Linked DNA regions of Coturnix japonica. The protein of the gene in region 2 purifies or fractionates together with the protein of the main gene of each other region. This does not show direct contact. Links are inferred from orthologs where the notes say so. Each region holds a gene or a part of one and is shown on either strand. Other genes may lie near its edges. The genes, in order: AMOTL1, NF2 and AMOTL2.

Region 1 (3,642 bases), on a different chromosome or scaffold from region 2:
CAGCCTGGGCTGAAAAGGACCACAGTGATCACCCAGTTCCAACCCCCTGATATGTGCAGGGTCACCAACCACCAGACCAGGCTGCCCAGAGCCACATCCAGCCTGGCCTTGAATGCCTCCAGGGATGGGGCATCCACAGCCTCCTTGGGCAACCTGTTCCAGTGCGTCACCATCCTCTGTGTGAAAAACTTCCTCCTAATATCTAACCTAAACCTCCCTTGTCTTGGTTTAAAACCATTCCAACTTGTCCCTTCGCTACCAACCCATGTAAGCAGCCATTCCACCTCCTGTTTATACACTTCCTTCAAGTACTGGAAGGCCACAATGAGGTCTCCCCTGTGCCTTCACTTCAAACTAAACAAGCCCAGTTCCTTTCTTCACAGGAGTGGTGCTCCAGCCCCCCGATCATCTTAGTGGCCTGGTTGGAAGGGAACATCCAAGATCATCTACTCCAACACCACTACTCATATCTGCAGTATCAAATCCTACATCCCGTATCAGTCCTACTGCTATTTACAGACAAGTTACAAGATTTCAGCACAGTGACTACAAAGGCAGCATTCCCTTTGACAGCCAGCCACAGAAGAACAAACAAATTAAGCCACAACTGTGGTTATCCCATCTCCTTCAGCAGTTACCTGCCAAGGTGTGTGGGTTCCTAGCCACACTTCCCTCCTCACATGAGGATTTGTGGGGTGAACCCAGTGAGGCTGGCAAAATACCGCCTAGGAGGCTGAAGGATGAAATGGAGACTCATTTGTGTTTAGGAACAGCAAGAAAAACAGCTCTGGAAGGACAGATGATGAAGGAAGCTGTGACATGGCACAGGCCAGCCCCTGCCTTCAGAGCTGGGCAGCGCAGTGCTGGCAGGAGCCGTGTGGCTCTCAGCAATCAGCTCACAGGAAATAAACACTGTGGATTATTTGTAATGTGCTTGGAATAAAATCATCCACATGCAGAGGCCCAGCACAAGGGGCCAAGCTCCATAAAAGTCTCATGTAAGCTTTGTTTGGAGAATTTAAGTAGGGCCTAAGTGATGTATACACTTTATCTAGCCCTCTTCGTAAAGGGAACAATTTCACCCCACCATCAAGCGAAGAAAGATGTGAAATAAAGAGATATCTCTATCTCACAATTAAGCTTCATGCAGGTTTTTCCACTTTTCCTTTTCTTAATTTGGGGTTCTGAAGATCTCAAGGATACAAGGTTTATGTTATAAGCTTTCACACTCTTAGAGTGCGCTCCTTATGCAGTTACAGGTGAAACCTCATCTCCAAACTTCTGCTCTTCCATATGAATTACAACAGTTACAACCCAGTTGCTGCCCCGACACAGCCCTGCATTTCAACACCTCAACACAGAAACACAGCAAGAGCTGGACACAAGGTTGGCTGGACAGCCAGGAGTCTTCCCAGCTTTTCATATCAAGATCTAAAAGAGTGGTGAAAGAGAAAGCCTTTAAGGCAACCAGGTCCCCATGGCCACGAGCTGCCAGGCCCACACCCTGGGCATTACCTGGTCACCCCATACTCCGGGGGCGGCTGGTAACGGACAACGGCCACCTCGGTCCTGGAGGGCTGCGGGGCCATGTAGGAGGCCTTGAGGACGTCCTGCGGCCCTGCTGGGTGCTGCTCACCATAGAAGAGCCCATGATCAGGTGCCTTGCTGCTGGGGGACACCGTTGCTGCCGCCTTGGCCTTGTAGGGGTACTCGGGCGGTGGGCCCCGCGGGTCCATGCCCTTGCTGGGTGCCGGGGCAGCCTTCAGCCCCTTGCTGCCTGCTGGGGCAGGCGGGTGCTGCTTGGCCCCGTTTCTCTCCAGTGAGAGCTGCATGATCCTCTCGCTCAGCGAGCGCACGTGGCCCTGCTTCAGCTCCTTCAGTGCATCATCCTTATGCGCCTGCCCGCTGCCGGCCCGAGTCACCGTCGGCCTCCCCTCCGTCCTGGACTTCTGGCCAGAGGAACCAGCGACATAAAAACCCGGCCCTGCCGGTGGCTGCCCACGGAAATACTGCGACTGCGCTTTGGCCTCCTCGTAGGTGGGGAGCTCCTCGCTGCTGTGTGGGGGCTGTGCGGCCCGGGGCTGCTTCTCCATCGCAGCACCGTCCCCCTGGTGCTCCTGCCCCTGCGGTTCCTGCCGCGCCGATGGCTGGACCATTTGTGGGTCCTCGGGCGCGAGGTTTTCTGTGGAAGAGAGAGTGCTGGCAGTGCTGTTGGAGGGGCCGGCGCTGCCCGTCGCTTGGTGCTGGATGGCCAGCAGGTTCATGTTCTCGCTGGGGTTGCCATACCTCAGCTGCTCCTGGATCAGGCGCTGCAGGACCGTGCCGGCTGCCACCTCCTCCGAGCCTCGCATCTCCACCTCTGAGCTCCGGAGGAAGGCTGGAGGGTGCAAGGTGCAGAGGGCTTCCTCGGCTGGGTGGAAGAGAAGGCAGTGGTTAGGAGTACACCTTATTTTGGGCCACCTAATAATAGCACCGTGTTCTTCATAAGGGGGCCTCACTCCCTCTGCTCCTCTTACCCCCTGCAGCTGTACCATTCTTTTACACCACTCTCATTTCCTTATGGCAGCTCACCCCTAATTCTGATTAAGAGAAGTGACCCCATCACTTCCCCAGCCCTCCCCTCAACATTCTCCACAGGCCCCCCCCTACCCACGGCTCCAACCTCTCACCCCAGTCAATGGTGGGACAGGGAAACGTGATCTCCTCTAAAACAGGAATTGGGTAAATCCCTCCCTGGAGACTCCTGGCACAGATTTCAGAGGCAGCCTCCATAGCAATACCAAATGAGACAGCGCATTTTTGACAGCTGAAGTTAGAGAGCTGAATCCCCTCACAAGTGCACTGCATGCCACAATCAGATACAGCACAGGATGCATCACAGAAAAAGCCTGAAATCCTTCTGAAAATAAAAAGAGTTCTGGGAGCATAATTGAAGAGGAAATCTGTGCTCTGGCATTCTCTCTTAAAACTGCATTTTCCCTTCTGGCCAGTAACACCATTTCAGTGCAAGTCAATACCAACTTTTGTAATTTTGCTGGGTGAATAAAAGGAAGATGATAAAGGTCGCAGTGTAGTACCAGAACTTTAAGCATCACAGATCAGACAGACAACCATCACACATACTGAAGTAATGCAGAGACAAGGTATAACTTCACCCAGCCTCAAAAGCTGCATTTGCATGGGATAAGGTGTTACAGATGCTGTAACTGGAGTGAAGCCACTCAGCTCAGGGGTTAGGTCAAATACCAACACAGCCTCCAGCTCCCTTCTTCATCTCAGTCCTGTTTGTTCTGCACAGCAACATGAGCATTAGTTATAGAAAGCGATGCACACAGTGAAGCTTGCTTGGAGCAAGGCATAATCCCTCCTAGCTGGATCCTCACTTGTGCACCCATCCCAAAGAGTTGTGAGGTATTTGTGCCTACACCAAAGGAGTGCTCCTGGTGGGGGTAGAAGTGAAAATTAGCCCTCAGCTCCGCAGAGTCCTCCCATTTTCCTAGGCAAGGAGGAGGTGCTGTTCTGAGTTCAGTTTTTGAGGTCATTTTTGGCAACTTCCCTTCTCTATCCTGCTGTTTCCAATTCTCAAAGGAGTTCCTCAGCAGTACTTGTGTTTGTTTTCTTGGCATTCAAAAGTAGTTAAAA
Region 2 (3,642 bases):
CCACAGGGAAAGCTCCTGCTGCTGCTGCCACTGCCTTCACTTTGCTACCTGAAGACTTGGGCAGGCCCTTCATATCCCAAAGAATCACAGAAGAGATGACTGCCTTTAGTCTTGCTGTGACTGGTACCTGAATGGCAGCAAAGGAGGCAGGAGGCACTGCCAAGTCAGTAAGGAATGAATTGTTCTCCCAGCATTGGCGGCCTGAAACTCAGGTTTGTTTTTTCTTTCCTGTGCATTATCCACCACCACCATCACAAAAGCAGTTTTGGCTTCAAGGTCTAAAAAGACACCTGAACAAGTTCTAAAAAGCCAGTACAAGGAACTGGAAAATTACCAAAGAAAAATTTTAACTGCTTCTTGTCATTTCTGTAACACATCCATCCTCTCCTCCCTTCCTCTTTTGCTTGTTTCCCAGGAGGGAAGTTCTGGCTTGCACTCCATGCCAGGGGACTACAGCACAAACTCTGGGAGAAAGAAAAATAACAAGCTCAGCGTTACACCCTCATTAAGGAAGAGAAGAGCTGGAATCTGGTACCGTTTGGCAGAGCTGCCATTCACCTGAGGGACACCAGCCTCCCAGCAGCAGCTTTCAAAACCCTTCATCCCTCAGGCCACTTTGGGTTTATTCCCTCTCTGCTACTGCGCCTGCCCAGCACAGTCCCTTCAGCCCAATCCTGCGCAGGAGAAGCATTTCAGCACATCTCACTCATCTGTCCCAAAGCACTCACGTGGCAGAGTGAGAGACGCTACAAAGGAAGAGAAACATGAGGCAGGTGTAACAAGGGATGGAGATGGGGTGCTTCACACACAAGGGCCCAGCAAGTTACTGTCACATGGATACAAGTCTAACAGACATAAGACAGCCAGCTGGCCTTGGAAAAGCAACAGACATTGCGTCTGTGTGATGCAGTGCTGCTCCCATGGCTGGGAGGGGGCAAGAAGAGCTATGAGAGGGGACTCTGTCATCTAAATGGGGAGAGAAAAAGGCAAGCCACAGCTCTTTGAGGAAAGGAGGATACAGCACTTTGTGACTGGAGGCGGCAGCTCTGCACAGATTGCCTCTAGGACAGATGCAGCTGGAGGGGTGGAGCTGAGCTCCATGCAATCCTGCACTACCTCCTGTAATTAGGCTTTAACTCCACAGGCAGGAATACAGTCACGCTGCTGATCGCTAGTGCGGGCAGCACAGGGATTTATGCACAAGAGCTCACTAGCTGTGGTTCTGCTCGTTTGACTAAGGATGAGCACAGCCACGTGAGGGAACCTGGATGTGAGAGCTCTGCCCAGACATCAGCACTGGGCTGATGTAGCCATTCAGTAGGTTTCCAACAAGTATGCTCCACCCTGTGAGTAAATTAAGCTCAGAATTCACAAACTGGTGGATCCCAGAACCCTGCAGCAACATAAGGAGCTCTCCAAAGATAAGGTTTAGAAAGCATCAAGCCTTACAGCACTTGACTGAAGGCCCTGAGGCTAAAAACACCCGACTATTTTCCATCGTTGCCGTTTCTTAAACGCTTCTGAATGTTTCTGCAGGGATCTTCAGAGAATCTGGATGAAAAGCTTCTTCATCACTAACCCTCTTCAATCTGCTTCCCAGAAGTTTTGAGGGGAGAGGGAGGAAAGGAGCTAACACGTACAAATTAAAGCTTCAGTACTAGACAGGTCAGTAACTCCCACGTATGTCTGTTGAGTTTATTCCTGAAGATGTCAAGTTCTTCCCCCTTCACCTCTCTGGACAAAGTGCAGCAGCAAAGGCAGTCATGGCAGGTGCAAGCTGTGGGGAAGGAGCGCCTGATGGCATCTGCAGGTCCTGCAGCACAATTAGGGAAGCTGAGGAAAGGAACTGCCAGACAGAATGGGAGCAGTGGTCTTTTAGTCTGGTGTTTCAGTCCCTGGCAGCAATCAGGACCAGATGCTTCAGAGGAAGGTGTGAAATCCTCTTAATGGGCAATTACAGAACACTCCCCCTTCAATGAAGTTGGTTTTTCAGCACATAGATGCACAGAGACCAGTTTATGCCTGAGAATGAATTCACAGATTTGGAACAATATTCATTCTTCCTAACAAGTATCAGACCATCCTCAGTTCTGTATTTAATCCTATTTTAAAAGCTCTTACAGAGCTGGTCAACTCCACATGCAAAGCACGGCACGTTTCTTAGATTACTTTACAGTTTGTTGCATTTAATTCCATCGGCAGCTCTCTGGCCTTTGTAGAATAAAGCAAGATAGATAGGGGGAAAAAGGTGAGCAAAGCGTTCTGGTGGACAAGTTACTTAGACGAAAAGGGCAAGTGCTCCTAAGTATTACAGAACAGCTACTAAGCAATACAGTGAGATGATTCATACCCCCCTACTGATGGGATAGAGACACAAGACTGCTCTAGACTACGGAGGATGCCAGTTACTGTCTGGAAACTAGCAATGACAATACTGATGATTCTTACCGTGTAGGATGACTTGCTGGTGATTTCCAAAAGCTTCTGCTTTGCTCTCCGCTCAGACTCTCGAGCCTCCTGAAGGTCCTGCTTTAGCTGATCAGCCTCCTTTGCCCTACCAAGGAAGAACAGCAAAAGGCAATGTTAGGTCCAAGTTTGGAGGCTGATAAACATGATTACACCATAGGTGTAAAACAGGTAGAGAGTTATCCCTTAGCAAGGCCTAAACAAAGAAATCATTTGGGTAAGGGAAACACTGGAACCTCTGACATGTAGGACACTAACTAGCACAAAAATCCACGCCATAGAAGGACAGCTCTGGCACGAACTCTGCATGAGCAGCAGTAAGCAAAGCTAAGGGGTGGAGCAGCACATCAGAATGCCAGGAGAGGAAAAGACCCATAAGTTGAGCTCCCTTCAGCTGTTGCTGTCAGGGCGTGAAAGGCAGAGCACCAGGGCCCTCTAGGTGATGTCCCCTTTCCCTGTTCCTTTCACCATAGCATCAACCCTTCCAATAAAAGGGCTTCAAAGAAGGGACGTCTGATCAAAGAAAAATCAGGGCCACCACTGTTCTACCTGTACCATTTCCTATGCAGGGATAGCCTAGTTGTGGCAAACAGCAAAACAGAGAGAAATCAGCTGAGCCTTGGGGTCAGTTGCTGTTGTGCATGCAGGGGAGGCCAAGGACTCACTGCAAACTCTGAACTACCTCAAGGTGAGCCACAGTTTTGCTAAGTCAGAAGGGGGCTGGAAAGCAAAGCAGAGACAGCTGCAAGGTTGTACCCTCTGACCTCCTCTCTGACTCCTCCGCCATTTTCAGTGCCAACATCTCAGCTTCTAGCACCTTCTGTTCCATCAGTCGCTTCTCCTCCTCCGTCCGAATGGCCGTGGCTTTGATTCGCTGCATCTCTTGCTCAGCCTCTGCTGCTTTCTGAGCCAGGAGCTTTGCCTCCTCCTCCGTGATCTGAGCCTTCTCAGCCAGCAAATCAGCTGTCTCTTCAGACCTCATCTGAGAATAAACACATGTTAAGTCAGCAAGCACACAATGTCCCCTCGAATGTGCTCTCAAGCCTGGAGCAAGGCCCCAAACTGAACATTCCACATGACCATCGTGGCTCACCAAGTCCCCCTCTCTTCCATGAAAGCCTGCAGCTTCCTGCAGCCAAAACCTGGACACAGCAAGGCTCCGTCCCAACTCATTCT
Region 3 (4,439 bases), on a different chromosome or scaffold from region 2:
GCTCCAACACCTGCACTTAGTGCTGTGTTTTGGGGTTAGGGCTGCAAGGAGATGCTTCTCCCCATAGTGAAACCACTTCCGTGTCTTCTGGTCCATTATCCATTTTGTACATCCTTCCACTAAAATTAACACTGGTTCTGCCTGTTCATCTCTAAAAGGAGATACCGACTCATCTGATATCTAATCTCACAGCTAAGAGGATCTGAAGCTCCGGGATGGCTATTGGCAGTCACAAGCATTCCGAGCATCTCGCCTTTGACACAGCACCGCACATCTCCATCTCCATCTCCAGCCCCTGCATCCCTTCCCTGCACAACAGCCAAGTCTGGGCTTTGTGGGCTGCTTTCACCTTTCCACGTGCTTCATCTTCTGATGGGAAGCAGTGGGTCTGTGTGGGTCTGTGGATGGGGAAGGGCTGTGTGAAGAAGCCAGCAGCTGGTCAGGCTCGTCCAGGGGGAGCATGGAAAGGTGGAAGCTTCCCATATCTGCCGTGTTAGAAAGAAAAAGAGGAGCAGAGGGCTTTTCCTCTTCAGATCACTTTCCAAAGTGCTGTTATCAGCCCAGGAGGGGTTTCCTGCTGCCAAAAATAGAGCGGTGTGGAGATAGGAAGGGAAGCGGGATGACGCAGGCATAGATAAGGCTGCTGGATGAGCCGGGGGGGCAGCTGGGACCTCCGGCATGCTGGGTGCCCCCATCCCACTAAGAGACCCCCGGTAGGGTTTGGGATCTCGCCCACACCTGCTCTGTGTCCAGGGCTCGTTTCTCAGCCCCGTTATCAGTCAGTGAGCGGCTGGGTGCTGAACGTCAGCCCGATACCTCCATGGTTGGGGGCCGGCAGGGGAGGCTGGCCGAATTTCAGGTTGTGCAGCGTGCATCTGTGCCTCTGAAGGATGCAGCGGTGTCTGGCCGAGCAGAGAGCGTTACCCACAGCCAGTCCCTTTCCTCCCCCCAGACAAAGCCCCCCAAAGGATGGCAAAAGGAAGAGCCCGTCGGCGCGCTCCGGGCTTTGTTCGGCCTTTGGAAGGTGCCAAATTCCCTCTCTCAAGAATGAGAGCTTAATGTCCCGTATCTAATTAGCAATTTTCCCTGCACCTGCTCCTCGGCCGCCCCTCGGACCATCTGCCGTCTCGGGGCCCCGCGGGCGGACGTGCCCGGCGCTGGGGGTCCCGCGGCTCCTCCGCTGCGGCCGCACGACGGGGAAGCGGCTCCGCAAAGCCGGGCAGCCCCGGGCTCCGTGCCGCGGGTCCCGACCTGCTGCACCCCACAAAGGGAAGGAGCAAAGCACGCGTGTATCCCGCACGAGAGGCGGGGGTCGGGGGGCTGCGCTGGGGAAGGGGAGCGGCGCTGGCAGAGGGCAGAGCAGATGGGGCCGCGGTTTTTTTTTGTAGGGCCGGGAGACAATGGCGCGTCTCTCGGGGCCGGGATCAGGCACGAAGATTTATGCAGGCGGGCAGCTGGCGGGCACAGCCTCGGAGCCCCCCCGGGCGGCAGCTGCTGCCCCAACCCCTCGGCAGCCCCCGGCCCAGCGCCGACACCGACCGGCCCAGCCCCGAATGGCGGTGGGGCGGGCGCTGCTCCCCCTGGCGGCGGAGCGAGGACGGGGAGGAGGAGGAGGTGGCGGCGGGGCGGGGCGGGCCCGGCCCCGCATTCCGGGCATAGCAGCGCCCGAGCCCGGCCCCCGCTACCGGCGGGGCCCGCAGTCGGCAGTGGCCTCGTTCCCCGAGCGGCAGCACGGCCTCGCCGCTCCGCCATGCCCCGGTAAGTACCGCCGCCCTCCCCCCAATCCCCCGTCCCCGAGGAGCCGCACAGCCGTGGGGAGAGCCGCGTTCCTCCGGCCCCAATCCCGCTGACGTCCCCGTGTCCCCCCGCAGGTGCCCGCGTCGCTCGTAGAGCCCCCGGACGGACGGACGGAACGCGGCGGAGATGAGGACGGCGGAGGACTCGAGCGGGACGGTGCTGCAGCGCCTGATCCAGGAGCAGCTGCGCTACGGGAACCTGACGGAGAACCGCACGCTGCTGGCCATCCAGCAACAGGCGCTGCGCGGCGGCACGGCCGGCAGCCCCCGCTCGTCGCTGGAGAGTCTGACCCAGGAGGAGAGCCAGATGGTGCCGCAGTCCGCCCGGCAGGAGCCGCAGGGCCAGGAGCACCACGCCGACCACCTGTACAACGAGCACGGCGGATACCGCCCGGCACAGCCCCAGCACAAGGGCGAGGAGCTCCCCAGCTACGAGGAGGCCAAGGCGCACTCGCAATACTACGCGGGGCAGCGGGCAGGGCAGCAGCACGGCGGCACCCGACGCCCCGACGACGCCCTGAAGGAGCTGAAGCACGGCCACGTGCGGTCGCTGAGCGAACGGCTGATGCAGATGTCGCTGGAAAGGAACGGGGCCAAAGCGCACGGCCCCATCAGCTCGTCCCACAGCTTCCCGCAGCTCTCCCGGCAATACACCCTGCGAGGGCAGCGCCCCGAGGGAACGGAGCCTCGCGGGCCTCCACCGGAGTATCCCTACATCCTCCCCAGCCAGGAGGCGGCCGTCGCTTACCTGTCCCGGCCCTGCTCCCGGGACGGGGCCGGCTTCCAGCACCCCGAAGTCAGGTAACCCACAGCCCTCGCCGCTTCTTGGGTGCTGGTTGGCCCCGGTTTGCCTCGGTTGGTTCAGGATTTCCATCCGGCAGTGAAAACTCCGCTGCTCCGGGAGGGATTCGGGGTTAATGCAGGAGTTGGAGGCAGGTCAGGAAATGGCTAAATTCGGAACAGGCGTGAGCCAGCGTGGAAGGAAAATGTGCTGCTCGGAGTGGAAAAAGCTGCCTGGCCTCCCCGGCTGAGGGTGCCCCCGGCCCCGTGCCTTCCAGCAGAGTGTATGGGAGCGCTGAGCACTGCTCCTTCCTTCCAGCCCATTGACACCTCCAGCAAAACCTGCCTCTGCTTGGAGGTCTGTGGGTGTGGAGATTTGGGCATCTCCTGGTGCTCAGGGAAGGCTGGGAAGTGTGGTGTTCTGGCATGGAATTGCTATAGGCAGGAGCTCCAAGCTGACTTACCAGGGCAGGGAGTGATAGCATTTCTGGCAGGAAACAGCTCTCCTTCCAGGGAACAAAGAGGGGAAGCAGAACTGTGAGGAAGATGCATTTGTTCTTCCTCGCTCCTGGATCACCCCATAGGAATGCAGGCTCCAGCACGGCGGCCACATGGCTCAGGATGGCTGAGGCAGCCATGGGATGTCGAGGAACTCTGGGTGATAGAATGGGGTTGTATTAACAGTGTGGTGGCAAGGCTTGGAGCCAGGAGCCCTCTCCTTGCCCAGGAAACCATGAGGAGAAGTGGTAGTGCTGCAGGTTTCCAACATACATCTTTGCTGAGGGTTTTTCTTGACTGCATCACCCAGCAGCAGGGTGGTACTGAGCCCCCCTGACCCCCCCCCCCCGGCCTAGCAGTCAAGTCCTGATGTTCTCAGGTGCTTAAATCCTGGGTGTGGAGGTGCTCAAGCTGCAGGCAGTGCTGTCAGATGGGGTTTCCTTCGTATTTTGTGTGCCCAAAGCCAACCCTTCCCAGCTGTGCAGGGCAGGTTGAGCACTCATCCTCCTGAGCATGACCCATGGGCACCCAGCACCTCTTTTGTCCAAAGGTGCTTCAGGAGCTCTGCGTATCCACACGGGTTGGTTGACAGAGGAGAACATGTGGGCAGGGTGCTTGTGGTGGCCAGTGTGTCCATCCCCATGAAGTGGCTGAGCACCCCTCTCTTTCCCCCCAGCAGGCTGATGCCAGCACCCGTCCCCGCAGCGTTCCTGCCCTCACCGAGCACGCTGGGCTCTCTCAGCCCTGCTGGTGTGGAGGCCCTGGTGAGTGCACAGGCGGCCTCAGCTGGCAGCCGGCTGGCCCAGGTGGATGCTGTGATGCGGGAGAATGAGAGGCTGCTGCTGGACAATGAGAGGCTGCGACGGGAGCTGGAGAGCTGCACGGAGAAAGCCAGCAGGATCCAGAAGGTGAGCTGGCCTTTGCTTCCTGTCAGCACGCTGAGGATGCAGGACCCCAGCCCTGCTGGTTATTTGGGATGTGGGCAATGGGTGCAGATGCTCAGCCCACCTCTGCTCCCACCCAGCACCTCACCCACCAGCATCCATCCCTTGGGGGGAAGGGAAGGGCTCATTGACCTCCTGCCGTGTCACGGGCAGCAGGTTTAGGCTGAGAGCAGGTACACCTGGAAATGGCCTCATCTGCACAGTGCGGCTTTGTCCCTTGTTTTTGAGCGAGCTCGTGCATTTGCTTCCTTGCCGCCTGGGGCAGGATCAAGCAGCTGCTGTGAAAATTCACCCCCTTTTGTGTTTTAATCTCTGCCCCCTCCCTCCGGTGGCTGCCCCCCACAGCAAGCAGCTGCGCTTTGGTGGCAGCACGGCTCCTTGGCCAAGTGTGGAAGAGAGGGGAAAAAGAGCCCATTCTGAG

What was found.
Region 1: the proteins of NF2 (region 2) and AMOTL1 purify together in Homo sapiens (affinity purification with mass spectrometry; 6 studies listed by BioGRID and IntAct, counting the BioPlex papers as one, with this or other methods). This does not show direct contact. The link is inferred for Coturnix japonica from reciprocal best matches to the Homo sapiens genes NF2 and AMOTL1.
Region 3: the proteins of NF2 (region 2) and AMOTL2 purify together in Homo sapiens (affinity purification with mass spectrometry; 5 studies listed by BioGRID and IntAct, with this or other methods). This does not show direct contact. The link is inferred for Coturnix japonica from reciprocal best matches to the Homo sapiens genes NF2 and AMOTL2.

Annotation. Positions count from the first base shown.
Region 1 is NC_029516.1:165,956,117-165,959,758, forward strand, and holds part of AMOTL1 (angiomotin-like protein 1), read right to left. Parts: intron 2,411-3,642; coding exon 1,516-2,410; intron 1-1,515. UniProt on the Homo sapiens protein: Inhibits the Wnt/beta-catenin signaling pathway, probably by recruiting CTNNB1 to recycling endosomes and hence preventing its translocation to the nucleus.
Region 2 is NC_029530.1:9,885,820-9,889,461, forward strand, and holds part of NF2 (merlin), read right to left. Parts: intron 3,449-3,642; coding exon 3,231-3,448; intron 2,555-3,230; coding exon 2,449-2,554; intron 1-2,448. UniProt on the Homo sapiens protein: Probable regulator of the Hippo/SWH (Sav/Wts/Hpo) signaling pathway, a signaling pathway that plays a pivotal role in tumor suppression by restricting proliferation and promoting apoptosis.
Region 3 is NC_029524.1:3,377,291-3,381,729, forward strand, and holds the start of AMOTL2 (angiomotin-like protein 2), read left to right. Parts: upstream 1-1,626; 5' UTR 1,627-1,758; intron 1,759-1,871; 5' UTR 1,872-1,923; coding exon 1,924-2,597; intron 2,598-3,750; coding exon 3,751-3,982; intron 3,983-4,439. UniProt on the Homo sapiens protein: Regulates the translocation of phosphorylated SRC to peripheral cell-matrix adhesion sites. Required for proper architecture of actin filaments.